Linked DNA regions of Diceros bicornis minor. The protein of the gene in region 3 purifies or fractionates together with the protein of the main gene of each other region. This does not show direct contact. Links are inferred from orthologs where the notes say so. Each region holds a gene or a part of one and is shown on either strand. Other genes may lie near its edges.

Region 1 (7,385 bases), on a different chromosome or scaffold from region 3:
CCCTGACCCCTCACCCAAGCTGAGCTTCCAGCATTCTCTAGCTTGCTAGTTCCACAATTCTAGTGGACAACTCTCATCTGCTCTTGTTTCTTCTCCTGTTCTTCCTTTTTTTAACTAACAAATTAAAAAAATTTTTACTTGTGGTAAAATACACATAAAGTTTACCATCTTAACCATTTAAAATCTATAGTTCAGTAGTGTCAAGTATATTCACACTGTTGTGCAACCAACCCCAGAATTTTTTCATCTTGCCAAACTGAAACTCTTTACCCATTAAACGGCAACTCCTCATTTCCCTCTTCCCTCAGCTGCTGGCAACCACCATTCTACTTTCTGTTTCTATGGATTTTGACTACCCCAGACATCTCATATAAGTGGAATCAGACAGGCTTATTTCGCTTATTTCACTTAGCATAATGTCCTCAAGGTTCATCCATGTTGTACCATGTGTCAGAATTTCCTTCCTTTTTAAGGCTGAATCATTTAAAATTTTTTATTTTTTTTTTATGTTTTTTTATTTTGGTTCTTTTGTTCTTTTGTCCTTATAAGTTTATCGTTTTGTTTTATTTTCCCCATTCCTTTAGCCATTATTTTAGTACAGTTTCCGGAAGTGGAGATAAATTTTTGAGTCCAACCTAGTCCTTAATAGGAAAATCATATTCTATTTATGAAATCTAAGGACATATTCTCTGTTGCTTTCGACAATCTCTTTAACTTTGCAAGACCCCTTAAGGAGAAGAGAATAATAAAGTTGCATTTAATCCTCATTTAGCCAAAGAAAAATTTATGCTTTGCTTTGATGTTAAGCAAAAAAGTTACTTTAAGCAGTTGTCTTTTTACTATGAGTAGAAACTCTTTCCTGGGAAAGTTAGTGTAGTGGATCTCAAGGTTTGGTCCCCAGACCTGCAGCAACAGCATCACCTGGGAGTTTGACAGAAATGCAAATACTCAGGCCCCACCTCATACCTACTAACTCTGAAAATCTGGGGGTGGGGCCAGCAACTGTGTTTTCACAGGCGCTGCAAGTGCTTCTGATGCTTGCTAAAGTTTGAGAACCACTGGTCTTCTAGAGGCAACGCTTCGCAAAACCGCATCTAGAGATTAAACATTTTGTTTAGTTTTACTCCAAATGTTTACAAGATTTTCAGGCTCTGAGGTGACCATCTTTCAGCAGACAAGTTGTGAGGCACCCCTACCACCTATAGTGCCCATCTGCGGGACTTTTCTCTCTGCTGGAGAGGAAGGCCTTGTCCTGTATTTATACTACCTGACCACTTCCTTACCCTGCACCCCACTGGCCACACTGACTGAACCAGGAGAGGAGCCCTCACTCAAGGCCAGCCAGTCCACTGGATGGTCAGGACCAACTAGCTGGATCCTCTCTCGAGAATATGAGCTAGAGACACGAGACCGTAGTCAGTGCTGAACTGCTAAAGGTATAGAAAACTGAGTGATGGCCACAGTGGCCCTGTGCAGGCACAGCCCCTGTGTCCTTTCAAAAAAAAGTAGCCCCTGCCTACTTTTTTTTCCCTTGAGTGGGTATACATTTTTTGCGCCAAAGAGACTTGATCAGGATACATCTTAACTATTGATAAGAAATGCCGTATGATTGATTGGTCGTAGTTAGTATCATCCATTGTAAAGCTTGCCCAAACTATTGGCTTCTCCACGCTCTTGTCCTCTTTTGGAACTGCATATAAACAAATTGATGTCTCTGTCCAATATGTGTTTAATTCCCCATATGTGAAAACACATTTGGTAGCGCTCTTATTGCATTCCAATGCTGAACTCTTGGAGTTCTTTTGCAATTGCTTCTGATTCTCTGAGAAACTAGTGCAAATTGCTTTGTAAATCAACAACCAAAGAATCAATATCCGTGATGTTCTTTTAAAGAATTTGAAGATAAATAGTCCCCATAAGCCACTGTCATTGTACTCCAAGGTTCAAAAGGAAATATTCTGAAAATGAAAGCAAAGGAAATCATACAATATTACCAAAATGGTTATGTGGTAGTGAATAAAAGCCAGAATATGATTTGAGGAGTGAACGTTTGTTCTGAGAACAATATTAACATAACAGGAATATCAGGATCAAGCTTTACTTTTTCAGGTCACGGTTATTGATTTAAGAATTTATGCAAACAAAAATCGTTATCAGAGAGTTGTTTGCAAAAATGTTTTAAATCCAACATGTCTTCTTTTAATATTATACTATTGTAGAATATCCCAGGATGGGAGAGACCATAAAGGTCATCTAATCCAGTTATGCATTTCCTGCTTGACTCACTTCTATACCCCTAAAGAAATGACAGCCACACGACCCTGGCATTGTGGTTGATGACAGAGCCATTTACCATGCCTCATATAGTAAATCTACAAAAAGGAATCAATGCATTTTGAAAACACAAAATATAGGATGCTACTTTGAAATATGGCTTTTGTAAGTGTTTGGAAAAGTAGTGCTTTTTTCTTCTGTTATTCATGGGGGAAAGGGTGTTAAGCATTGTGGCAGACACTATTTATTGTCCCCAGAATTGGTTGTCCGTAATCTACAAATGTCTGGTTGGCACATGACTGCTCAAAATAAAGCTTACATTCCCAAGCTTTCCTTACAGCCATGCGTCTCGGTTACTATTGCTGTGTAACAAATTACCACCAAGCTTAGAGGCTTAAAACAACCTTTGTATTATGCTCACAGATTCTGTGGGTCAGGATTTGGAACAGGGCATCACGGGGCTGGCTGCTTCTGTCATGCGATAGTGACTTCTATCAAAGCAGTCACAAGCCCATCCAGATTCAAGAGGAGGGGAATTAAGACTCCAGCTCTTGATGGAGGAGTGGAAGGTCACACGCAGAAGAGCACATGGGACAGGAGATATTTTTGCAGCCACCTTTGGAAAATGCAATCTGCCACACTATAGGTGTGGCCATCCTAAGTTCTGGCCAAGAGGACATAAGAGGAATTAGTGTGTTTAACTTTCTGGAAGTGTCCTTAGGGGGCGGATGTGTGTTTTGGGGAGGTGGGGAGAGGTTCCCTTCTCTTTTCCACTTTCCTCTTGGCTGAAATATGGATGAGACGACAGGAGGTGGGGCAGCAATTTTGGACCACAAACTGAGGATTCCGGAGCTATGAGCTGGAAAGAGCCTGGGAGCCTGATGACCATGGGAGCACCCGACCAGCCCTGCCCTGTTTACATTTACATTACAGAGAAATAAGCTGCTCTCTTGTTTAAGCTACTGTATTTTGCATTTTCTGCCACATGCAAGCAATGGTAATCTTAATAAAGACATCATCATTAATGAAGACAGATCAATGCTAATCTTAATAAAAACATCATCATAAATGTAGACAGATGATGCAAATTCATCTTAAATTACTGGAGCTATAAAGACAATAATGCCTATATGGTTTATATAATGCTTATACGATTGGAGTTTGACTAATATTGTGGGCCATGCAGTGAGGATCACAGTACTTTATAAAAGTTTACATCTTAAAATGCTTGACACTTACAATTAGAAGTACTTTACTATATTTAAAGACAACATATTATTATGAGGTTGATAAGAAACGAAAATAAAGAAAACATTCACTCATGGAATGAATACAAATTGGATTACAAACAAAGGGTTTATATCAAGATGTATTTTTATTGGTAAGTGCCGCACAACAAATGGTGCATTTGTTTCAATAAACAGTAGTAAACGCACAAAGTGGACAATGAAATAGTATCAGTAAGGCAAAACATCATAGACTGGATGGAGAAAGGCTGGAGAAAACGTGGCGAAAGAAAAAGAAAGGTGTCACAAAGATGGAGCATTATGTCCAAAAGAGAATCAGTGCCATCATATGACTTTAAACAAAAGACATTACCAACACTTATCAATAGATTCTCGGAGGAAAATAAAATGCCGCTACCGAGGTGGGGGCTGAAGTTTCAGGGCAAATCGCGCGGCACCAGCTCGGCGTGGGTTTCCTGTGGTTAATGACAGGTGGGAATTCGGCAGAGCGGCCAGCCCGCTCCGGGGAGTGCGGACAGGTGGACGGCGAAACGCGCCTGGAAGAGGGCACCCGGGTAGTGTGGAGCGGCCCCCCACGCCCCCGCTGCGCGCCGGAGCAGCATTCCCCGCAAGCCCGCCGGCGCCCTCCACCGTCTTCAGGCCGGCAGCTGCCCGAGCGGCGGGTGCGCGGCGCCCGCCGGCGGTGGTTGCCATGGTTTCCGGGAGTCACGTGGGCGCGCGGCGGCGGGGCGGGGGCGGGGGCGGGGCGGGGCGGCCGGGCGGGGGAGAGGAGCGGCCGCGGCGGGCGCGGGAGGAGCCGGAGATGCTGCCAGCCCTCCCGGGGCCGCGCTCGCTCAGCCACCGCCGCCGCTCGGAGCAGCCGCGCGCCAGGAGCTGCGGGCCGGGCCAGCCGGGCCGCCGGGGCCCAGTGCGCCGCGCTCGCAGCCGGTAGCGCCGCCAGCGCCGTCCGCGCTCGCCCGGGGGCCGCGGGGCCCGAGGCCGGTCCGCGGAGGGGGCGAGGGCGGCGCCCGGGTGCCCGCTGCCCCGGAGGCAGGATGAGCATCGAGATCCCGGCGGGACTGACGGAGCTGCTGCAGGGCTTCACGGTGGAGGTGCTGAGGCACCAGCCGGCGGACCTGCTGGAGTTCGCGCTGCAGCACTTCACGCGCCTGCAGCAGGAGAACGAGCGCAAAGGCGCCGCGCGCTGCGGCCAGGAGGGCAGGACCTGGGGGGACGCGGGCGCCGCCGCCGCCGCCGCCGCCGCCGCCGGGGGCGGCACCCCCAGCAGGGGGGTCAACTTTGCCGATGAGCCGGTGCACGCCGACTCGGAGAACGGGGAGGAGGAGGAGGCCGCGGACGCAGACGCAGGGGCGTTCACCGGTGAGGACCCGACCCCCGCACGCCCCGGCTCCCCAGTGCAGTTCCCCCTTTTTTGCCCTTTAATCCTGCAGCTTTGCTCACCCACCCTTGCCCGCCTTCTCCACCTTCCCTACCTTCCTATCTCGCCTACCCCCTCAGCATCCATTTCTGTCTCTCCCACTCGCCCACCTTCCTACTCTGCTCTCATGCCCTCTCCTCCTCGTCCCCTCCCCTGGAGGTGGGGAGCTGAAAGGTTGGGTTCTCGTCCTGGACTCAGAGGCAGAGGACGACCGGTTTGAGTGGGCATCTGAAAGACAACTTCCACTGTGGTTGGAAATATTTCGTTTGACGGGTACCATTGTGCATAAAAAACTGGCCCATTTGGCGTCCTCTTTCAGCCCTTATGTTTATTAATAGAGCGTCCAAAGAGAAGAGGTGAGGGGTGTTCAATTGGATTGGCTTTACTGTTATTAGGATGGCCAATTCACTAAAAGGAGCATGAAATTGGACTCACTGGGGCAGAACAAAATTTATGGTAATAGCTTTCATATTTTTGGAAACAGACAAATCTGTTAATTTCCCATTTATCAATACCGCATTTTGTTGTTTTTGGACACACAACAAAGGATCCTGTTTAGCCTGCGACCCATGGGGTCTTTGGAGTGAGGAAACGGGCTAATGGTTTGCTTTTTATTTAAAACAAATATTGAATGATATGGAGCCTTTTTTAAAAAAATAAAAAGTGTGTGAAAAACACTGTAGGAAGTTCTGAAAGCTTGTTGGTTGTCTTTAGAATGAAAAACCAGTGAGTAATTGTAAGGACTGTGCCAGACACTGAAGCTGGAAAGAATGAATGGAAAAGAAAAAGGAATTTTCTCAAATAGCTGCTCCTGGCAAGTCCCACCCCTTCTGCTTACAACCCTTTTTCCCTAACACACAGACGGACACGCACATTTACAGCTTCCTGTGTTTACACGACATGCCCAGATCCCATCTTTATGGCATCCCAAGGCTAAAATACCATGGTGTGCAAATGTGCAAGTGTTTTTTTCTCTTTGTGGTGGAAAGCAAACGTGCGTTGAGCGTTGCACCAGCCTTTATTTATTTACACTGCTTGTGGTTTGTGTGTCCGCAGAGCATTTCATATAAGGAAAACATTTTCAAGTGTCATTTCCTTGTGCATGTTGCTAGGAAGGTGTTTCTTTTCTTTGCAAAATTATTGAAATGTGTTATAAAATCAGTGTATTTTTAGCTTGTCCAAAATAATCACAAAAGCCCTGGAAATTAGTGCTCTATGAAGATAAAAGGGAAGATGGTTACTTTAAAAATTTTAATTTTGGTCTTGTTAATGTTTCCAGGGATAGGATGATCATAGTCTTAATTGTTCTTTTTGCGCAAGAATTTAATCAAATGCCTTTCTTATTAGAAGCAAGAAAAAGATAAAATAATACATATTTTAAGTAGATGAGAAAGAGAAGCCAATGATGGGTGACACAGAAAGGGCAGAGGCATCTAATACTTCTTTTATGCTCCTGAGACAGGCATGTACACACGCATACATACACATGCACACACACAAAGGGAAAAAGGACTTGTTTCCCATATGGGAGGAAACTAGGAATTTAGGGACTTGGTAAAGAACCTATATATGTTCGATACAATATATTGTCAGTATAACTAAAATATTTTGTTTGTATAATGCTTTTGAAGTACTTTGCATTGGTGATTCCCTTTTCTCCTTACAACAATGTGTATTGTACACAGAACAGATTTTATTTCCATTTTGCAATGAAGAAATAAGCCATTAACTTCTAAACAGCAGGGATCATTTTAAATGGTTTTATATTCTCCAAGGCACCTTTACTCTAAAAATTTCTCAGTGTGAGTTTTAAGAAATGCTTATTAACCAATTGCACTATTTATTCCCCAGCCCTAGCCCCAAGGACTTTAAAACTTTTTTGACTGCAACCAAATACAGTGTGACCATTATCCAATACACACATCTGTGTATAGGTATAACAGAAACTTTGGCAGTGGTGCTTCCTTCTACTTGGTGCAGTAGAAAACATCTACTAGAATATTATCTATTCCAATCAATTCTCTCGCTCGCTCTCGCGCTGGCGCTCCCTCTCGCTCTTGCTCTTGCTCTTTTTTTTTTTTCTGAGGAAGATTAGCCCTGAGCTAATATCCATTGCCACTCCTCCTCTTTTTGCTGAGGAAGATTAGCCCTGAGCTAACATCTGTGCCCATCTTCCTCTGTTTTGTATGGGGATGCCTTCCTCTTTTGATGAGCGGTGCGTAGGTCCATGCCCAGGATGCAAACCTGCAAACCCCTGGCTGCTGAAGCAGAGCGCACGAACTTAACCACTACACCACCAGGCCGGCCCCCAATTGTCTTGTTTTTTTTAAGCAAATTGTGTTGAGACCTGCAGTTTAAAAACAATTATAGATTACCAAGGGGTTGGCAAACTTTTATGTGAAGGGCCAGACAGTAAGTATTTTAGGCTTTGTGAGCACGATATGGTC
Region 2 (7,372 bases), on a different chromosome or scaffold from region 3:
ATTTCCATTAAATAGCAAAATTACATTGGAGGAGACAGCATCAAGGTGATTGCTAAAAATTAGCCCACTAACATGTTCCCTGGGGACATGTGAGGCGTTCCTAGGCATAATCTTAGGTGCACTTACACACAGCCTGTGTTCTCTGACTTGTCACACTGCTGCCTTAGCTCCTTAGTACACCACTGGCCTTCCCCTCTCCACACCTCCCTTCTGTAGTGTCCCCTGCCCCGACTTGTGTCCCCTGCTCCCCCATCCCAAGCATGGGATAGGCCTTTCCATTAATCCCCTTACCACAGCATAGACTGGGCTTATAACATTGCAGACTTTACTGAAGACTCCTAGTGTTAAAAAAAAATCATTAAAGAAAACAATTTAAGTGATACAAATAAACTTGAACACTTCATGAAGCGGACAGTCTCCATTCAGAGAACTACAAAATGGGGCATAAGGCAGGAAGCTTTTATAGGATAAAGAATAAAAAGCAAGGAAGAGAAAAATAAAATATCTGATTGCCTGGGGCCACAGAGTTAACCTTGTTTCCGGTCAGAAGGAACAAGGAAATGAGTATAGAGCCCAGAGTTGGCTTGGCCTGTGGGGATTGGCTGACTGGGTATGCCGTGTTTCTGATGCAGTGAAGCATTTGCAGGGACTTGGGAAGTTAAGTTGTGGTTTGCTGACATCACACCTGGGCAGGAGCGCCTCCATCCTCCTTTCCTCTTTCCCTCTCTTCTTTCCCTTTTCTTTCTTCTTTTTTTCTTTCTCTCTCTCTTTCCCCTTCCTTCCTACCTTCCTTCCTTCTTTCTTTCTTTCTGCCTGTCTCTTTCTCTTTCTTTCTCCCTCTCCCTTCCTCCCTTTCTTCTTTCCTTTCTTTCTGTAGTTATTGACTAACTAATAACACCTACCATATGCCAGGCATGTGTAAGTAAAAACAGATGTGGTTCCTGCTCATGAATCCTACAGTCTAGTAGAGGAGAGAGACATTAACCAAATAATCATTCAAATGAAAATCATTATAAATTCATCAAAGCATTGAAGAAAATTACAGTCCTGGGTAAGGAGGAGCTTACTTAGTCTGGGGAGTTAGGACAAGAGTTCTTGAGGAAATGAGAGTAGAGCTGAATGCTGAAGGATTCACGGAAATTCAGAGGCTAAGGGGGATGGACAGAGAAAGAACATTTGATACTGAAGGAAGCAGGACAGGTCTGGCCCTATTTTGAGGAACTGAAAGTAGGACTTCTGAGAGGGAGAATGATAGGAGAGCAGAGGAGAAAGTTAGGTAGATCATGGGGAGATAAGAAACCACTGAAGGGTTTTAAGCAGGGGACTGACATGGTCAGATGTGAATTGCCAGAATACAAATGCCAGCCTTCTGGGGCTAGAGTGCACATACTTCAAACAGCAGGCAAAAAAGACAAAGCTAGGAGCAAAGTAACTGTGCTAGGAAAAGAAATATGGACTTTGTAAACTGGATAAATTTTATTTTTTAAAGTATTAAAAAGGAATAAGCAACATCCACACAAAACTGGTATACAAATTTTCAAGCAGCATTATTCACAGTAGCCAAAAAGTAAAAACAACCCAAATGTCTATTAACTGATAAACTGATAAATAAAATGTGCTGTATCCATACAATGGAATCATTATTCAGCGATAAAAAGAAATGAAGTACTGATTCATGCTACAACATGCATGACCTTTGAAAACATTATGCTAAGTGAATGAAGTGAGGTATAACCAACCACATATTATATAATTCCATTTACATGAAATTTCCAGAACAGGCAAATTTATAGAGACATAAAGCAGATTAGTGGTTGCTTAGGGTTGAGGATGAGGTGGGGGATTGACTCCTAATGGGTATGGGGTTTGAGGGAGCAAAACTGTTCTCAAATTAGATTTTGGTGATGATTGCACAACTATGGGGATATACCAAAAAACACTGCATTGTACACTTTAAATGAGTGAATTGTATGGTATGTGGATTGTATCTCAATAAAGCAGTTAAAAAAAGAAAATAATTTAAAAAAGAATCCAGGAACTAGGGACATCTATAGAAAGGAATCTCAATCCTAAATTTCTTCTTGCTTTATATTCGTTGTAGTCCAAATAATTGTAGCTAGCAAAAGAGACCACAAGGACTGTCCTGCTAGGGTGAACTGGGAGGATCTCGGGCTCTATTCATACATGTTAGGACGGTAGAGTTGAGTCCATTGTTCATCTAAATTAGCAGTACCAAGCAGCTGTTTCAGTTAATCATTATAAGAACGGCAAAAAACACTCAAAAGAGTATTCAGTTCTTTCAACATTTTAAAAGAATGGTCTTAATTTGTTAAAACAATACCTTTTCTCTTTTTAGCATTTTTCCTTTTAAAAAGTAACCCTATAATGTTTCTTGAAATCTTATTTTCATTAAAATTAAGGTGTTAGCTTAACGTGAAGATAATGCCTCAGCTCTATTTTCTATTTCTTAAATCTTGATTAGGAACATGTGAAACATTACTTATTCAATACTACCTAGGTTCAAAATAGCTACCGAGAAAGGGAACAGGAGGTTGAGCAGGTGGCAATGCTTCCATTTTCACACTCTGAGAAGGCCAAGATTTCTTAGGGAAGCATTCCTGGTATCTGTATTAATCAGTTTCATAGTTCCTCAGCCGGTGTGTGTGTGCGCGCGTGCGCGTGCGCGAGTGTCCAATTTCATTTAGCTTGTGCTGCTGACTCTTATCAGGTTTTTATAAAGATTCTTTTCATTTCCCTTTCCAGCTTCCGTCTTACTGGTGTGTGCATGCCAAACTTAACCACTCTGCGTGTAGGCTAGTTAGATTGCCTTGTTTTGTGTATGAGGAAGCTGAAACTCAAGGATGATAAGGTACCTTGATTTGGCTGCGTCACCAATGAGAGGTCTTCCAGTTGGAACTTGAGTCTCCTGATTTCTGTTTTTTTTAGTGGACATCTTCATTTTCCAGCCTTCAACCTCTATCTTTTCAAATCTTATCCTTAGGAATAAATTTCTGCATTGAACATCACTTTATGTTGCTTTTTCCTAGAACTGACTTTTAGACAGAAGAGGTGGTTATCTGTGTGGTGTAACTGGAGGGAAAAAAAATCAAAAGACACATTCCTTTTGGGCCATTTGTTTTCCCAAGTAACAAAAAAATTCCCGTTTATTTCTCCTATTGTAATTAAATAGCAGTAACTGAAGACGTATCTAGATGCTCTTAACAAAGGCACAAAACAGCACCAGAGCTCTGACCTAATGGATTTTAGAAGAGGAATGTCCAAGTCGTTGGAAATTAAATCTTTCAGGATTGTCTTTCTCACGGACTACAAGTCTCCTGATATCCCAGCTTCCTCTGTGGCCTTCTTAAGATATTCTTTTCCGGGAAGAGCTTTAAAAAATAAAAAAAAAGTGAATCATAGGTGTCTCTCTCCTATTTAAAACTCTCCAACGCTTTCCATTGCACTTAGAATTCTAATTCTCAATTTCTTTCCTGGCTTACAAAGCCCTACAGGATCTGGCCCATGTTTGTTTACTTCTCCAAGCTTATTTCCTCTTACTTTCTTGTATTTTCCCCCTCAAACCCCATTTAGGGCCTTTGAATTAGCTGTTTCCTTTGCCTGGAATGCTCTTTCCTCTGATATTTGCATGACCGTTATACAAATCACTGCTTAAATATCTCCTCCTCGAAAGGGCCGCCCCTCAAGTAGCCACCCAATCACAATCACCATCACATCATTTATTGTATTTTCTTTGCATACAGCTTAACAATAACAGGTTTTTTCTTTCTTCTCTCTCCCCCTCCCCCATAAGCCCTCTAGAACCTACACTTGTCTTCATCGCTGCTCAATGGACAGCCTCGAGTAGCGCCTAACAAATACAGGAGCTTAATAAAAATTTGTTGAGTGAAGAAATGAACATACGAATGCTCCCTGTTTTTCCTGCCCCTCTCTCCCAAACAGGACAAAACTCATAATGAGGATACACTGAAAAATGTCTTTCTCATCTATCAGGTATTAACACCCTTGAGAAATAGATGTCCTTGAGGAGACTGTGCAACTTGACGGGACTAGCCCTTCCTATTCTAAGTGGAGAAAATCGTATGTTAGCTTTTCATCTAGGGCTGGGTTTCTCCGTGACCCATGCTTTACTTCCGATTCTGATACCGCGTAGAGACGCAACGGTGAGCACTAGGGCCCGGAGATCCCTCGATGCTTTGTTGAGGTTCGGATAGGGCCGCTGGCCTGGTGCGCTGTGAGTGGTCCTCCCTAGAGATGTTGGGGAGAAGGGGCGGAGCCACCCCGAAAGCATGAGCCTTACTTGGGCCGTCAGATCTGCGGGGCTGCCGCTTTGGGGCCCCGGGAATCAGAAGAGAGCAAAGCTCGCCTGTGGCGAAGAAGGAGCCCCGCTGACCCCAGGCGGTAAGACCAAGGGGTCGAAGGTAAGGAGGCAGGGCCTGAAACCAAACCCGCAGAGCAAGCCACGGCTTAGGTATTTTGCCAGGGGAAAGGGTTAAACGGTTTCCAAGGTAACGGACCAGGAAGCGCGCAAGACGTCCGCCGCAAGTTCGTAGGTCAGACTCGAGTTTAAAGCTCCCACGGCTGAGCGGATTCCGGCCAATGGAGAGGCTGCCTCGATATCACGTGACGCACGGGGCCGAGCGGCTAGCTGCCTCGGAGCACGTGGGAACGTTTTTCCTGTTCCTTCTTTGCTTTTTAAAAAGCCCACCCACTTTTGCGCGGGCTTGGTAACGGAGGTCTTCTCGCGAGAGGCGCGCTCCCCTCTCGCGAGAGTGAGTGGGAGGCGTGGGGACTAGGTGGTGTAGCGGGCTGGAGCTGCGGCGGCGGAAGGAGGGGGTGGGCAGGGCGGGGGCGGGGAGGGGGAGGGCTGGGGGCCGGTGCTGGAGGGGGCGTCTGCTTGCTCGGCAGCTCTCGCGACTGGTCGTTGCGGGCCGGTTACGTGCCTGTGAGTTGCGGAGGCTACGGCCCCCAGGTGAGCCGGGCGCGGATCGGCCCGCGGCGTCAGCAGCGCGTTGGCTGGGGTGGCGGCAGGGTGTGGGGCGGCGATTGATGGGGCGGCCCAGCTCGGGCGCCCCAGCCCCTGCGCCTGCCCGCAGTCCCTGCTCTGACTTCGGGGCTGTTCAAAGCTGCGCCTTCGCTCGGCGGTGGGAGGAGGAGCGGGGCGGAGGGAGGAAGCCCAAGGCACTGGGCCGGGGGGAGGGGAGTGTCCTCGGGCCCGAGTGGGGTCTTTCTGGAGTCCGAAGTGTGGCGTTGGGGCTGCAGCCCTTGAATGACAAGCTCAGTTTCTGACCCCAGAGTGGGCTTCAGAGCCGGGTCCTCTCGGTGAGTGGTGGTGTGTGTGCTTAGCTTGTGTTGGTGCTGCGCGCACAGGAGCATATGCAGGAGGAGGAGGGCGTTGCACTTTGTCCCCTAACAGCATCCTTCACTGTCAGAACCCCTGAGCCCTGGAACCGGGCGCACCCCAAATCTTGTGACAGAAACGGAAGACGTCAAGCCCGTCGGAGTATTGATATTGGGATTTGCTGTCAGATTTCCCCCAAGGCTGTTAATGGCTTAAATACAGGCCATGCATATTCCAAGTGCATTGGGTATACCACTTCGATTATTCCGGGCACCTAAGCTGCTTTATAAAAAAAAAAAAAATGTAGATACGACCAAAGTATTTAAAACGTTGGCCAATGACAATGGTAGTAGCATCTAAACCACCACAGTGGGTGTGACTTGGTGACAGTTCTTTACTTCTGCTTTTCGTCTCTAAAACCTTATTAAACTGGAAGTGGTTTAGCTTAAGATGTTAAAGAAATTTCAACGTGAGAAATACTGCTGAGACGTATCTAATGGTCTTAGTGCAAACCACCGTTAAAAATTCCGCTTCTCTTTTCAGCTTTGTAATTATGCAGTCCCTTGCAAAACATGTAAGCTTTCCTTAGCTTCTTCCCACCTTGTTAGGGGTGTTATATTGATTGATACTGTTTTTGATATGTCTGGAAATATCCAGAAAATTCAGAGTACTCGGAAAATATAGGGTACTCAGTCATGCAAAGATGATTTTAATGTCTTGTTTATAATTTTAGGGTAAATGGCAGCTCAATTCTCAGCAGGATTAGTGTCAGTTAAAATAGTGCAATTTAATGAATCTTTTAAAATACCTGGTCAAATAGTATTTGTACAAGTAGTACTATTCAAGTAGTACTGGTTATACTTTTTTATGTTCCTTCTGGCAGAACTGACCCAAGGGTTGAAGATGAATTTCACTGTTAATTGTAGCTGTGAGTAACAGAGCAGTTTATGAGAGATCAGAGAATGTAAGGCAATCAGAACAAATGGGTTCCCAAGCTGACTGGTAACTAGTGATTAGTGTATGTACCCACGTAAGTGAACTATTGTTATGGGACTTGCCCAAGACCCTGAACCACAATGAGGAGTTCCCTAGCTTCCCAGCTGCTGGAGTGAGTCTAGAAGCTGAAGTCCTCCTTTGCTTTTAGAGGCTGGAAGAAGGATAGTACATTTAATGTTGCTGGTTTTTTTTTTTGTTTTTTTAATTTCAGGAACTTACTGTCTGGAAAAGGAAATCAAATCAGATGATACATTATAGGTCATTTTTAGGGAAATTTCCAGTTATAAATAGGCAGAGGAGTTCTGTCTATACTTGGAGAAAATGTGAAAAACTTAAGAAATGTCTTTTTGAGAATGGGCAAAAGGGACCAGTCTAGATTTAAAAAGTTTTGTTCCATTCCATCTTGGCAAACTGATTTTCAGATATAGAAAAATAGCATTTTTTGCTGGTCCTTACGACCTTTTGGCAAGGGTTTCAGGCTTTTAGGATGTAGATATTTGTTTTGTCTTGCTTTTGAAAAGAAATTGAAGTAACTTTGGGTAGGATAATTATTTAGGTAAAATGAATTTATTCTTTTTCTGTGAAGTGGCCTCCATTTTAGTAATAAAATCACCCGCTTGGAGGGAATGAGGGGTGGGGCAGGTCAGGAAAAGATTAAGCTTAGCCTAGGCTTTAGTTAAGGGTGTATAAACTGGTAAAGTAGGGAAAGGAAAGAAAAATACTTTATCTGTTTAAAAACAGACCAAACAGATTCAAATGTCTTCATTCTGCTACTCATCTTTATATATAAAAGTTCATTTTATTTTTCAGTACTTAAGACATTTCAAATGTATAGATTAGAGACTGGACAGGATAAAAGGAGAAAACATTTTTGGATTAATCTGAGAATGTTTCATGGGAAAGAATAAGATAAATGGCATGGTGGCCTGGAACACATTGGGTGTTAACTTGGGTGAAAATGAGGTATAGTGAAAATAGTGAAAAGAGTTCGGGTTTTGGAGTCAGGCAGCTCTGTTA
Region 3 (7,121 bases):
TATACAAAATCGCTCATTTCTTCAACATAGTATTTAAATCTACTATTCACTAATATGAATTTGTATCTGCCAAAGAAATAGCCTGTCAATTCACGGGAAAGCAGGATAGGTAAAGTGGTAGTATTCACCTATTCAGTCCTTAAAATGTTATAATTGGACATTCGTTAAGTGTATAAAGTCCAAGATTTAAAACATGTAAAACTTCAACCCAGTTCAGCATTGTATAACTCAACACACCATTTATGATCAAAGAAAGATTTAAAAGCTAACCATAATAAATTTGTCAGAAAGAGAACTCAACGAACTTCAATATTCACATTTATTCCAAGTCAGAACAAAAAGAATTCCTCCACGTTTTTTTTTAACTTCATGTACTTAAACGTGTATGGAATCAGCTGTTAAATATTTATGTTATCAAACAGGAATTCCTGTTACTTAATTTAGTACTAAAAGATGAAACACATTTAAAGCCCTGGGAACCACTAACTGGCCTTTTTTCTGTATTCCTATATTTAATGTCACTGGAAAAGAAATAAAGTTGGATTAAAACTTGTTACATTTCATACATGCCTAAATTGGTAATTAATCTTTACTCACAGTTCATGAATCTAATTTTTAAAAAATTACATGTGGTTTCTGTGCTTAGTTGATTTCTTAAAATAGCACTTTTGGCACAAGCATATTTAGAGCGTTTATTATTAGGAGATATTACATTCCTTTTTCTTGCTAAACAAGTCATGGAAGTAAACCGCTTTAAGTAGCTTTGAAGAATGTAGGTTGTATGAAAACATATCAAAACTCTTTCCATAACTCAATTTATAAATGAATAAAAATTTGTGTTTTAACCATAAAAATAAACCTTGGAATTTTGAAACAACAGTGTTCCTCTCTTTCTGTTGTATCAGCGTTTTCTCCTGTATATCAACACATTCCGTAATAGGAAACTAGAGCTCCAAGCTTACCATATGTATTATTACATATATAAAATTATTGTGCATATTTTGATATTTTGGGGATACGAAAGAGAGAAGACAGTGGAAGAATACCTGATTAACGAACATTCAGTTACTCTTTAAGAATTTCTTATATGTCATGCCTATTATGCAATGGCTACAAGGGTTGCACCTAATTTTACTTGTGTACAATGATCCTACTTATTTTATTTTCTGATATCACAATAAAGAAAAATGTTAACAGCATTTTATCAGTCCGTTTTTCCCCAAAGAAATCATGGCTCATGATATTATCTTCCGTTGCTAGATTTTAAAGTGTTTCAGAAAACATCACAGGCCCCATATATTTTAAAAATGGTGGGCGTACAGTTCAAACATAACTTTTAATTATTAAAAGCCCATGATATTCATTCATTTGAGATATATTTACTAAACACCCACTATGTGGAGGAACAGGTATTAATAAAACAGAAACTAATTCAGTATTGTCTTCATTCCTCACTAAACTTTTAATTAAAAGATCTTCGAAATGCATAAAAACGATTTCCGAAAGGCCTTAAGAGACTGCAATTTAACAGAATAGGGCAAGTAGAATGAATAACAAACTTTTGTTGCAAGGTAAATTTTAATAATGTACTATTACTTCAATATTCAACAGTTCATTAAGTTGAAGATATTTGAGATTCCTCATCCATTAACTTGCTACATAGTTAAGGATTAATTATAAATAATCAAAACCTTTAGAGTAAAAAAAAAATTTGTAGAAGTACACATTCTTTCCTTTCTTCCTAAAATAGCTTGAAGAAGGTAAAAAAATTCTGATGCAGAAAAGAAATAATTCAAATAAGCTTCTATAGAACTATGAAGGTGCTGCATAAAACAAGGAGTAAATTTTGTAAACCATTCTTGTTTGGTTTTGTTTTTTTTAACCTGAGTTTTCTTCCTTAACTGCTATGGAATATATAAATGGAAAGAGGGAAAACCTAGTGCAATTTGATAATCAAACACACCATAAAGGGCAAGAGTACCAAGGGTAACTCTATTATTGCTTTCATCAGAGTGACAAAAATATCTTGGGGAGGATCCAAGGTGAGATGTGGAATGGAGGTACTGGTATTGTTTATACGTGAAATTTATCTTTTAAAGGGCATGTCACCAAAAATAATTACATATCACCATTTTAGCAAAGCAGTAAGTCCAAACATCTTAACATGCCTGAAAAGAATGTGATGCATGCATAAACAACTTTTTCCCCCTTTAACCATAATTATAAATAATATAAAATATAATTATAAAAGCTTTTGTTATTTATAATGTTACAAATATAAGATTTCCCATAGAATAATCATACTATGCTTTTATATTAGAAAATTCTGCTTGTAAAACTAAAGTAACTTTCAAACATAAATTTAAAAATAAAAGATGGCAAACAAAAATTTAATTATAAATTCAAGAGTCTTCTCGCCCCTTTTGAATTTTAAGGCTTATAAATCCAAGACATTTTAAAAAGTAAACTGATCATTGTTTCTAAAATTTAGGCTGTTTTATATAAAAACAAAAAACAGTAACACACTAGAAATGATGTAAGAATTTTGTAGAAAATTTTCCTACTGATATTCAACTTAGTCATATATAAAACAAAACAATGAACTACATGATTCAGCTCAACTTATAACCAAGTTTTTGCAGAATTTTCTCAACTTCATCTTGCAAAATGTCCTTGTGCAAATCATAAAAAGACAAACAAAACACAGTTCTTTATGTTTGATTCTAAAACTCCAATTAGCATTTGAGCTTCTAGTTATAACATATCATTTAAAAAAAAAAAAGAACAACTTACTTGATCTGTCCCATAAGGCAGTATGTTCAGAGAAATGAAAGCTGTCATTTTCCAGAGCTGTTTTCTGATCATGTACAAAACTTTTAGAGTGTCTATGAAATAATCGGTTAGCAAAACCTTCCAATTTCTGAAGAGCAGTTGTACCTGTATACTGGTTACAGGGTAGTTCTCTGTAAGTTGCCATTCATGTGCATTTACACTTTATTTAAAGTAACTGAAAATATTTCCAGAAGGAGCGCAACAACTTCTTACACAGAAGCTAAGAGCTATGCATGTGTCAAACTTCCTGTTTGCAGAGTATTCAAACCACTACTGCTGTTCTGCTTCCTGTTAATATAAAACAGCACATTGCTAAGCCTGTCTTAGCAAAACTCTTCATCTCAACTAGAGATGGGATTTTAAAGACTTGCAGTATCAGCCTAAAAGGCTCTATGTTTAAGAGTGTTTTAATATTAATATACAGGTTAATGAGGGACTTAAATATAAAGCTTTATATATATAGTAGGCTGAAAATTAAAAAAAAGGAAAACTAGTTAAACGTATTACAATCCTATGCAAACAACTGAAGGCCAAACCACTCTCCAAATATAATATGTTAAAAAGGTGGTGTTTTTTCCAGGAAATTAGCTAATATATAGTTTTTATGAATCCTTATAAGAAGGCAACATTTCATCAAAAACTGGTATGGAATAGATATTACGAAACTCTTGCAAAACAAATTCATAACATATATGTTTTAACTAAGAAAAAAATCTGAACTACCCTATCTTAAAAAAAAGAACTGAATGTTGCTAACTCACTGACTTCAGTCTAATATATACAGAAACTTCAAAAATTTAGCATGTCAGTATTGCTTATCAAATTTATAATCTGCTGACAAGTGCCTATCAGCAGTACCTTTTAAAACATTCTAAAATTTGAAAAAAAGAATAAAAAGTAAGATTTAAAATTATATAAAATCAGCTACGGCAAGAAATTTCAATTGAGAGGAAAAAAAATCCTTCTAGTTGACTGAGACATGTTAATTTTTCAAACTTAACATTCAGGACTACTTCTTACCTGATCCTTGATTTAGGGGTCTCAAAAACAGCTCCTTTGATTAAAAGTAAGTAAAATTTGCCATTGTCCTTTTGGAGGAAAAAAGTAACTCATGACATTTAACAATGATTGACTACTTGCCTTTTGACACTAATTAAAGGATAATCTTTTAAAGGGCATGTCCCAAAAATATGTGGTTTTCTCTTTGGAAGTTCTAAATAAAAGAATAAAAGGAAGGGAGGGAGGGAGGGAGGGAGGGAGGAAGGAAGGAAGGATTTTTTTTTAAAAATCTATCAAAAAAATATCTCAGTCTAAATTTCCTGCCAAATGCTTGACAAATACAAGAAATAGGAACAAGAAGGACAAATAGAATCAAGAGGAATGATAATGTAATCAAATTAGGACAACACACACATACACACACACACAAAGGAAACACTAATGAATTTTGCCAAGTAACAGCTCATTTGTATACACTTTCTTTTGTGTAATAAAATTAATATCAATCTAAACAAATAGGCAATAGTATCTATAAGACTAAACTTCTTAAATTTGTAGTTTTCTGTATAAATGTGTATATAATAATAGGTAATTTGTTTATTAACATCTGACAGTGCTTTATACAAAACAGACAAGTGTGTGCAGTCTTTAATAAACATTTACAGAGCATGGACTGACTCTGTATGGGCAAAAGTGGATAAAATTCCTAAATTCTTTGACTTGCTCTCTTGGGAGAAATTCTATTCATCCTCAAGGTTCACTGCAAATGTCACCTCTTCACTCAAGTTTCCCACATACTTCCTAGAAAAATAAACTGTTCTCTCCTGTTTTCATTTGTAGTCACAGTTATAATTTTATATTAAAATTTGCTGTTTGTAAATTTATGTCTCAAATTGTGAGTTACTTGCATTTACAAATGCAATGTGTGTATTACATACTCAATAAATATATGTTGAAGAAAGCATTCATTTTTAACAAAGGTCTAAGTAGAATCATCAAACACTTGAAAATGTTTTAATTTTATGATAGGACCATAATTGTAAATTATCCAACAAGCACCAAGTTGTTCATATATAGAGACAACAGTAATAGAAGTAATGTCATTGAACTCCTTTTTCTCTATATTCAGTTACTAGATTTTATTCATCTTTGAGTTTCATTTTTATTAATGCAAATGTAGATTTCTAAAATAACTTGTTTTCCCTGCTTCTAGTCACTCCTTTCAATCACTCATCTCTGATATATTAATCTCCCTGAATATTATACTCATGGTATTCCCTTGCCAAATGCACCAACTAATCCTAACATTTCAGCCCCACCATTTTCATTTTTAACACATGTCTAGCCAACTTGTATTCAATGTTGCTTGAGTTTAGTACAGATATTCCAGATTCCTAACTAAAACACTAAGATTAATTTATTTAAAATAATGCATAAGCCTTACAACAAAATTACTAAAGCAAAAAAAGAGAGAGAGAGAGAAAAAAAGTAAGCTTCACTAGATGAGTATCTAGAAAACATCACATTTGAAATCTGTACTTTTTTCAATAAAAAATTTGTTACAAAGTCCTTATAAGAAGGAGAATCTTTCTACTTTCCTCAGAGCAATGTTTCTATACATGGTAATGTGACCAGGAAGCTGTTGCTATGGAATTACTTAGGCGATTTGATTTTTATTAAAAAGAACTCTACTGGCATCTACTGCTAGAAAGAAACAACTACAGCTTCAACTAAAACTACGAATTCCTTCACAATTCAAATTCATCTTAAGAAGTATACTGCTTGTTATTCTTCCTGATGGTATTTTCAGAACTTGAATTTACATTAAGACGTCTAGCCATGTACCCAAAATTTGCTATAATAGCATATCTTATACACTATTAATAGTTTAATGTATGATAAAACTAGAAAGTAATCAACTTTGAGGTTATCAAGTCCTTACTATTCATTCTGCATTAATTTTAGAAATTATAACAATTTTCTGAGTTGAACCTCCTTTGATTGCCATAAGATACCACAAAATTGTGGTTTATTTCTTATATTTAATAACAGTAATGATACCTTACATTTACCAAGCACTTTACAAGACATAAAATGATTTCCATTGGCTCATCAGATCTTTACAAACGAAGCAAACAGGACAGGTATTATTATCCCCTACTTTAAGATGAGAAAACAAACTCATAAACATTAAATGACTTGTCCAAAGTCACCTAGGTCTTCCAGCTTCTGGATCAGGGCTCCTTTGTACTGCACAATGATTTACCACAAGAAGTAAAGATTTTTTCAAATGCAGTATTTTCCAAACAAGGGTGGGGAGGTGGGGATACAAGGAAAGTTGGAGGTGGGATTGGTTCTTGGATACACTGTCGAGAGTCTGAGAATCTGCTACGAGAATGGTTTCGTTCAGATGGTCACTTTATAGCCACGCAATTTCACTGTCCACATTTAAGTTTACAATCATGTTAGGGTCAAGTAGAACTATGTACTTTAGAGTTTGAAGGTTAAATAAAAGAAAAACATGGATGTATATTCGATACGTAAATGATGCATTTGCTTCATGTGGAGGGTAAATGATATGACCATGACCCCTACTATTCAAATAAAGGTTTTAGGGTAATAATTCTGCCTTTCCCAAAATGTTATAAATGGATTCATACCTTTTATAAACGGATTCAACCTTTTAAGACTGGCTTCTTTCATTTAGTATAGTGTAGCAATTGGGGTTCATCCATGCTGTGTGTTTCAACAGTTCACTCATTTTTATTGCTTAATAGTATTCCACTGTATGGATCTACCACAATTTATATATTCACTCACAATTGAATTGCCTTTGCACCTTTTCAAAAAATCAATTAACCATATTTGTGTAGGTCTATTCTGGACTCTCTATTCTGTTACACTAATCCACCTGTTTGCTGTGCCAATTCTCTCATCAATACTATACTGTGTTGGCTACTGTAGTTTTCTAGTAAGTCTTAAATCTGATAACATAAATCTTCCTAATTTTTTTTTCTAAATTGTTTTGGCTATTATAGTTTCTCTACTTTTCCATTTAATTTTAAAAGTTTGTCTGTGTCTACAAAAATAATCTTGTTGAAACTTGACTGAGATTATTGGGAAAAATGACATCTTAACTACATTGAGTCTTTCAATCCACGATCATAGTATGTCTCTTCATTTACTTGGGTCTCTGATTTCTTTCAACAGTGTTTTACAGTTTTCAGCATACAGATCCTGCACATATTTTGTTAGACTTACACCTAAGTATTTATTATTTTTTAATTGGA
Region 4 (7,690 bases), on a different chromosome or scaffold from region 3:
CTCCCAGAATCCTCTCAGATTGGCTCAGAAAACTAGTCGGAAAGCAGGCCAAGGTACTGAGAGCCAGGCTCTGTAATCAGTAGGCCTGGATTTAAATCCTGGCTCGATCAAATAATTTTCATGAGATCCCAGACTGTTCACTTCACCTCTATGAGCCTCAGTGTGTCCTCACCTGTAGAAAGGGGATAATATTGTCACCTCAAAGGATCGTTGTTTATTCGGTGATTTAACAAATAGTTACTGAGCCCTATTGTAAGCCAGATACCAGGTTAGGAACTAGGGTACCAAAGAAGATCAAAATGCAGCCCCTGCTCTCAAATGGGTCGTCGTCTAAAGTGGGACACAGACAAGTTAACGATGCATTGTCCAATCCAGGAGCCACCAGCCCACGTACCCACTGAGCACCTGAAATGTGGTTAATCCAAACTGAGAAGTGCTGTAGGTATAAAATACACACCAGACCCCAAAGACTTCGTAAGATTAAGGAGAATGTAAATATCTCATTAATAATTTCTGTTGTTTTTTACAAGTTAGAATGATAATCTATGGAAATATTTGGTTAAATAAAATATATTAAAATTAATTTCACCTGTTTTTACTTTTTAATGTGGCTACTAGAAATTTTTAAATTACATATGTGGTTCAAGTTATATATCTACTGGACAGTGCTAGTGTCAATAAAATCCAGGGCTGAGACAGGGTCAGTGATAAATGGGATGACTAGAAGACTACAGACGGCCCAGGTGGGGTGAGGGAATGTCAGCGAAGGCTTCCAGGCAGTGCCACCTAAATTGAGACCTGAAAAATAACAGGCATTAATAAGGCAAAGGGAGAAGGGAGGGCAATCCAGGCAGCAGAAACATGAGTGCCAGGGCCCCACAATATGAAAGAATAAGGCAAGATCGTTCATTACAAAGAGTCTGGCAGCCAAGCAGAGTGAAGGGCTTGGGGAGGAGACAAGGAAGGGCAGAGGAGGCTAGTGAAGTAGATGGGGCCAGAGTATGAAGGACCTTGGAAGCCGTATTAAAGAACTTCACCCTGAGGGTGGCGAGTGGCCAGGGAGGGTCTGAAGGAGGTGAGTAAAAGATTAGTTACCAGGAATGTATGCAGCACCTGGGTCCTGCAAAGGCAGAGAGAGGAGGGTAGGCAGAATATGTGATGATCTGTGGAGTTGCTACTCTGGGCCAGACACCGGGCTAAACTCTTTTAGACTCACTCATTTTACAGATGATTTTGAGGCTCACAGAGGGTGAGTGACTTGCCCAAGGCCACAGTGTTAAATGGCAGAATCGGGATTGAAACCCAGCTAGGTCTGGGTCCCAAAGCCCCAGTGCTTGGCCAACCGGCACCAAGATGAGAAAAGCTGCCTGAGAGAACGACAGTGGACTTTTATCTTAATGGCAAAGAGCAGCATTACACATATAAAGCAGCAGACTGTGACAACCAGATTTACATTTTAAAAAGAGTTTTCAAGCTATAGTATAAAAGACTATTAGGGGTGTGAGGGAAGCCAGGACAATCAAGGTGAGAGGTCATACCCCAATATATCGGGGCATCGTAGTGAGATGAAGAGAAAGAGACATGATGAACTAACACAGGTCCAATTTAGGCAGGAGCTGCAAAGGGCCTTGCTCTGTGCCTGATACACAGTAGATACACAATAAACAGACTAACCACTTGTCCAGATAGGACTTGTTTACGCCTGCCATCCAGGCATGAATATTAATTGTGCTCATTTCACTCTTACAAGTGTATCGGTTTGCACAACAAATACATGGTCATCCTTTTAATTAGCGTCTGTTGACTGAAAGAAGCAGCCCGTCTCTAGCACAGCTGGATAAACACTGCAGATTCTCAGTTAAGGCTTTCCTCCATGTCCTTCTGAGCACTCAACCGGGAGCCAGGACAACAAAGGGCCCCAGCCCTGGGGCAGTGCAGGGCTCTGTCAGGCCTTCCTACCAGAAGAGACCCCTGCCCCACCAGCAATGTGGACTCCAAATGCCTCTTGGGACAGGTCCATTGGGAGGCCACTCTCAGCCATTATTCCCCAATTTGTATTACTATTGATGATGATGATGGCAACACAGAATCATTTTTTTAAGCACTGACTACGTGCCAGGCATTACACTTGCCAAGTGAATTGCTGGGCAGGCATCTTCTCTTCTAATCCTCATCCCACCTCTGTTGGGTGGATACTACTACTAGCTCCATTTTACAGATGGGAAAGCAGGGTAAGAGACTTTAAGGTCACAGAGCTAGTTAGTTTCAAGGGCTGGATTTAAATCCAATTCTGTTCAACTCCAGCCAAGGTTCTTAACCACTGCACTCCACTGCCTGAGTTTTGGTGGCCACTATGTGACCCCATAAGCAAAGTCTAGACAGACCAACTACACTCCCCATAATGAATGCAAACCCCCAAACCAGAATAAACCATCAAGTACCCTCCAGGTCCCCGCCCCTCAACCAGATCCCACCGATGGCACACTGCAAAAGGCCCCCCTCCTCCCGCTCGTTCAGACAACCCCTTACCTGTCCCTCACACCCTCTTCAAAGTATGTCCCGAAATACGAGAAAGGTGGGTGTGGTGCAGGTCCGGACCCTCAGCCCCCTACACTCAGTATCAGCTGGTGGGTCCCGAAAGAGACGCCTCGCCCCCAGAAACCCACCCCACACACTGTCCCTGTCCGGAAACCCTCAAACACCTTCGAGAGCAGACCCCAAGTCTCCGTTGGAGCGAACCCCTCGATCAGCGGGAACCCGGGCCCGGTTACCGCGAACCCCCAAAGCCCGGGCCGCACCTGCAGCCGCTGAGCGTTCCGGGGAGGGTGACGTCCTCTTCCAACACTGAGTCCATCCTGGACACGGAGGAGGTGGTGGCGTTGGTGTCTATGGCGGCGGCAGCACTAGTTCCCCCACGATGTAGCGACCCGCCTGGCTCCCCAGGTCCCGCCCCCTCCAACCCAGCTCTTGTTCGGACTGTGGCGGCACCGCTGGAATTCAAACCGCAGCCGCCGCCATCTTTCCCGGCGCTTCTTCCTACGGAAACGGGGCGGGGTCACCGCGGCGCGCGCGGTGAAGCCGGCCGGCCGAGGCCAGAAGCCGGGCAGGGAAGCGCGGGCGGGCGCCATCTTAACTAAGGGCAGAGCATCCGACCTGGGGCCCGCAACACTAAGGAAAGAGAGCCCGGCTGCCATTTTTTGTGAGGGCACTGAGGCCGGGGCCAGGGCAGACGCCATCTTTGTTGAGGGCCAAGGCAGGCCTTGGTCCGTTAATTTAAGCGGGAGATGGGAATCCAGGCCCTCATGGACCTTCAGAGTTCTTATCCTGGTGTATGCTTTCCTAGAATAATGACCCAAACCTTAGGGTCTGTGCATTCAAAAGGCTTCCACTTTGAGTTGAACCTCAGATAATCGGGTGCTGCCTCGCTTTAGAAAAATCTTACCTGCAGAATCCCAGCTCAAGCAGTAATTTGCACACTTAGCTTGAAACGAATAAATTCATCCCTATGAGCCAAGTGGTCACCGACACTCCCTCTCCAATCTCTCACCTAGTGATCCTTTATTACCTTTAAAGCTCAGACGCACCTGAGATCAGTAAACTGAGGCCCAGAGAGAGGAAATGACTCTCCCAAAGTCATGCACAGTAAGTCTGTGGACTGGAGCCAGATCCCCGGCTCCTGCCAACCACATCAGGGCTCTCTGCATAACCCTGACTGCCTTTCTTAAAGCACAAAGCAATCACCAACACCTAGATAATTTTGGCAGCTTGGCCAATGAAATGAACCTTCATCTCCCCATCTCAGTGTTACTACCTTCCTCTGCAGGCTGTCCGGAGAGTTCTGGATGAAAATAACTTGAAAAAATGGGTGATTGGGTAGATGATGACTTTCCTTGTAACCACGTACAACACCTCCCTCATCCTCAGTTTCCTCATTCTTCAATTTAAGTGTTACTTTCCAAAAGAAGCCTTCTCTAATCTTCTAATCTAAATCAGACCCTTTCTTGTATTCTTAGCAACCTGTATTTTTCCTTTGTGGCACTTACCACATTTTGCAATTATATATTTTTGTGTTTTTTTTAATGTCTCCTCTTGCACTAGACTGGAAGCTCCATGAGGGCAGAGACTGTGTTCTGAATTGTTTACTGCTATATTCCTAACACCTAGCACTGTGCCTGCCACCCAATCAGTGTTTAAAAATATACGTTGAGGGGCCAGCCTCGTGGTGTAGTGGTTAAGGTCAGGCGCTCCGCTTCGGTGCCTGGAGGTTTGCTGGTCTGGATCCCAGGCACAGACCTACGCACTGCTCATCAAGCCATGCTTAGGCAATGTCCCATGCAGAAGAGCTACAACTCTACAACTATGATATACAACTATGTACTGGGGCTTTGGGGAGAAAAACAGAAAAAGAGAAAGATTGGCAACAGATGTTAGCACAGGGCCAATCTTCCTCAAAAAAAAAAATATATATATATATATATGTTGAATGAATGATTCAGTCAATCTGGAAAATGAAAAATAATACCTATCCTGCAAGGTTTCTGTGACAATGTGATATCTTTAGTAGCTCAGTCAATAGTCATCCCATATATCCTGTTCTCTCTCTCTCTGCTTCATTCTCTCTCTCTCTCTCAGCTTTGGTGAAGGCTACAAGGCTCTTGATCCTGTGCCCGTTCCTCTTCCTTCCCCGGATATTCAGTCACCTCCAGAATCAGCAATAAAATAACAGCCTGAAAGAGAGAGTGGGCAGGAAACAGTTGGCACACCAGATGCCCTGCCCCAGGGAAGGGCAGTCCTCGAAGCCCGGGAACCAACAGTCCTTGCCAGTGCTAAGTTCAACCAATGAGATGGGTGTGTCCAAAAGCAGGGAAGCTGGGGTGTCAGGATTCCAGCCCTGGTTCTGCCACTGACTCTGCAATCTTTGGCACACCACTCCTCTTCTCTGAGCCTCAGTTTCTACACCTATGAAATAAGAGGGTTGGGCTGGTTGGATGTCTCAGGACCTCACAGCTCTGGAGGTGATTTCTTTGTGTTTATTTCAAGGTTATTAATGCACGACCAACCATTTTCTGGTGAGGGAGACTGAGTTACAAATCGTTACTTCCCAAATGAAGGAACTAACTTTTCATCCAGCACGTGAAAGCTCTTCAGAAAGGAAATAAGGAGGAGGACTTACACATTTTGGGCATCTCTTATGTGCCACTTGTGCCAGGCATATCACATACACCACCACATTTAACCCTAACAACAACCCTCGGGAGTAGGTGCTACTGTTCTCCCCATTTTACTTACAGATGAGAAGACTGAGGCTGAAAGAGGTGAAAATAACATGCTCAAGGTTTCACTGTTGGTAAGTGGCAGAGCTGGGATTTGAGCCTAGGTCCCACCGAACTCAAACACTCTAATTGTTTTAGGCAGCCTGTCTTCTCTATCTGTTTGGTTTCCTCCACTTTAGAATTCAGGGTCAAGAGGTGAGGTCTACATCCAGACAACAGTATTTCAGGGATGTGTTCACCAGACTCTACTCCTTGGACAACTGCTTCAAGGTGGCCATGAGGTGAATGTTAGTGTGGAGAGTAGGACTGCAGGATGGGAAGTCTGGGCACCTGGATTCTGACTCTGGAAAATCTTCCATCTTATCCTGTGACCTGAGGTCCCTTCCCCTCGCTCCTCCTTGGTTTTCCCATGTGTGAAATGGGACAGACAATGCTGAGCTCACACAGTTGCATTATCTAATTAGATACTTTGGAAACTGTAAAGAAGAAAGAGCCTTGGAGGAGTTCTGCTTATGATTAATCCATTGCCTGATTCAGCAAATGACCACGTTCCAGAATTGTGTGCTAACCCTTTAATGAACCTAGAAACTTAAAATAGAATCAGTTGCACAAAGGATAGGCTATTTGGGAAGTTGTTTTTCCTGTTTTCATGGTCAAGGATGAAGGCCTTTGCCCCGTCTCTGTCTCGCCATGGCCTTTCTTTCTGCCAAGCCTGGAAGTGACGTCACTACTACCAGCTGTTTGGGCTATCTGGCACCATCTCCTTGACAACAGCCACCCAGTCACAAAGCTGGCATTATTATTCCTTGGGTAAGGTCATCTCAAATGGCTGGGAGGAAGTAGCTTGCAGCCAGATGTTTCTCATGAGGGTAGAACCCTCCTGAAGTTTTAGCAGCTCAAGACACATGAGCTGCCATTATTAACAGCAAGAATAACTTACAGGATCAATACAGATACATTGCTACTTTGCACTATTTCATTTTATCCTCACTACACTCTGAAGTAGATTAGGATGATTGCCCTGCTCTACAGATGAAGAAACTAAGGTTCAGAGAGGGGAAGAGATTTGCCAAAGGCCACACTGTCTTCCTTTCTTTCCTCACTTTTCATTTAGAAATAATTCAGACAGAAAAAAATTGCAAAAATAATGCAAAGAATTCCCCATATAGCCTTCACCCAGCTTGCTAAAATAGTAACATCTTACATAACCATAGCACAATTGTCAAAAATAAGAAATTATATTACAATAGTACTTACTACAGACCTTCTTGAAACCTAATCATTTTTCCCATTAATGCCCTTTTTTCAGCCCAGGATCCAATCTGAGATTCCACGTTGCATTTAGTTGTTATGTCTTCTTACTCCCCTTCAATCTGCGACAGCTCCTTTGTCTATGTCTTTCATGACATTAACACTTTCTAAAAGTTCTTGCCAGTTATTTGATAGACTGTTCCTCAATTTGGGTTCATGTGCTGTTTGCTCATGATTAAATTGAGGTTATGCACTTGAGCAAGAATACCACAAAACTGATGTTGTGCCCTTCTCAGGGTATCAGGAGGAAGATGATGTTAATATGTCTCATTAATTAGTGATGTTAACTCTGATCTCTTGGCTAAGGTGGAGTCTGCCAAGATTCTCCATGGTAAAATTACTTTTTTTTTTTTTTTTTGTGAGAAAGATCAGCCCTGAGCTAACATCCATGCCAATCCTCCTCTTTTTGCTGAGGAAGACTGGCCCTGGGCTAACATCTGTGCCTATCTTCCTCCACCTTATATGGGACGCCGCCACAGCATTGCCTGACAAGCATTGCATCGGTGCGCGCCCGGGATCCAAACCCTGGGCCGCCAGCAGCAGAGCGCATGCACTTAACCGCTAAGCCACAGGGCCTGCCCCCCAAAATTACTGCTTTTTTATGATTAAAAAGAGTCTTGGGCAGCGATACTTAAGACTATGTAAATATCCTTTTTGTCATCAAATTTTCGCCCACTGATTTTAGCACCCATTAATAATTCTTACGCAAAACAATTATTACTGTGGTATTTGCCAATTGGTGATTTCCTATTTTCATCATTTCATCTATATTTATTAACTGGAATTCTACTATAAGGAAGAACTTTCTCTTCTTGCCCATTTCTTCCATTGTTTATTTAAATCAGCATGGATTTGTGGATATTTGCTTTATTTTATGAGTTATAACCTATCACTATCATTATTTACTTTGTTACACACATTATCCTAGATTTGGCCAAGCTGCCCATCTAATACATAGATGTGCCAAGATTCAAACCCGAGTCTGTCTGATCCCAAGGTCAGCAGTATTTCTAGCACATCCCTTGTGCTACCCTGCCCCTTTCTCTCAAGAACTCTTCCCAGCCAGCCTTCGCTATCAGCAGCCCTTGTCCAATTCCCAGTTAGTA

Evidence for each region.
Region 1: the proteins of PRKACB (region 3) and PRKAR2B purify together in Homo sapiens (affinity purification with mass spectrometry; 7 studies listed by BioGRID and IntAct, counting the BioPlex papers as one, with this or other methods). This does not show direct contact. The link is inferred for Diceros bicornis minor from reciprocal best matches to the Homo sapiens genes PRKACB and PRKAR2B.
Region 2: the proteins of PRKACB (region 3) and AKAP11 purify together in Homo sapiens (affinity purification with mass spectrometry; 5 studies listed by BioGRID and IntAct, counting the BioPlex papers as one, with this or other methods). This does not show direct contact. The link is inferred for Diceros bicornis minor from reciprocal best matches to the Homo sapiens genes PRKACB and AKAP11.
Region 4: the proteins of PRKACB (region 3) and CDK5RAP2 purify together in Homo sapiens (affinity purification with mass spectrometry; 4 studies listed by BioGRID and IntAct, counting the BioPlex papers as one, with this or other methods). This does not show direct contact. The link is inferred for Diceros bicornis minor from reciprocal best matches to the Homo sapiens genes PRKACB and CDK5RAP2.

The regions. Positions count from the first base shown.
Region 1 is NC_080742.1:11,401,259-11,408,643, reverse strand, and holds the start of PRKAR2B (cAMP-dependent protein kinase type II-beta regulatory subunit), read left to right. Parts: upstream 1-4,380; 5' UTR 4,381-4,555; coding exon 4,556-4,880; intron 4,881-7,385. UniProt on the Homo sapiens protein: Regulatory subunit of the cAMP-dependent protein kinases involved in cAMP signaling in cells. Type II regulatory chains mediate membrane association by binding to anchoring proteins, including the MAP2 kinase.
Region 2 is NC_080748.1:34,204,253-34,211,624, reverse strand, and holds the start of AKAP11 (A-kinase anchor protein 11), read left to right. Parts: upstream 1-4,359; 5' UTR 4,360-4,439; intron 4,440-4,936; exon of another isoform or gene 4,937-4,990; intron 4,991-5,276; exon of another isoform or gene 5,277-5,340; intron 5,341-7,372. UniProt on the Homo sapiens protein: Binds to type II regulatory subunits of protein kinase A and anchors/targets them.
Region 3 is NC_080743.1:20,724,691-20,731,811, reverse strand, and holds the start of PRKACB (cAMP-dependent protein kinase catalytic subunit beta), read right to left. Parts: upstream 3,004-7,121; 5' UTR 2,978-3,003; coding exon 2,794-2,977; intron 1-2,793. UniProt on the Homo sapiens protein: Mediates cAMP-dependent signaling triggered by receptor binding to GPCRs.
Region 4 is NC_080767.1:27,771,801-27,779,490, forward strand, and holds the start of CDK5RAP2 (CDK5 regulatory subunit-associated protein 2), read right to left. Parts: upstream 3,003-7,690; 5' UTR 2,855-3,002; coding exon 2,799-2,854; intron 1-2,798. UniProt on the Homo sapiens protein: Potential regulator of CDK5 activity via its interaction with CDK5R1. Negative regulator of centriole disengagement (licensing) which maintains centriole engagement and cohesion. Involved in regulation of mitotic spindle orientation.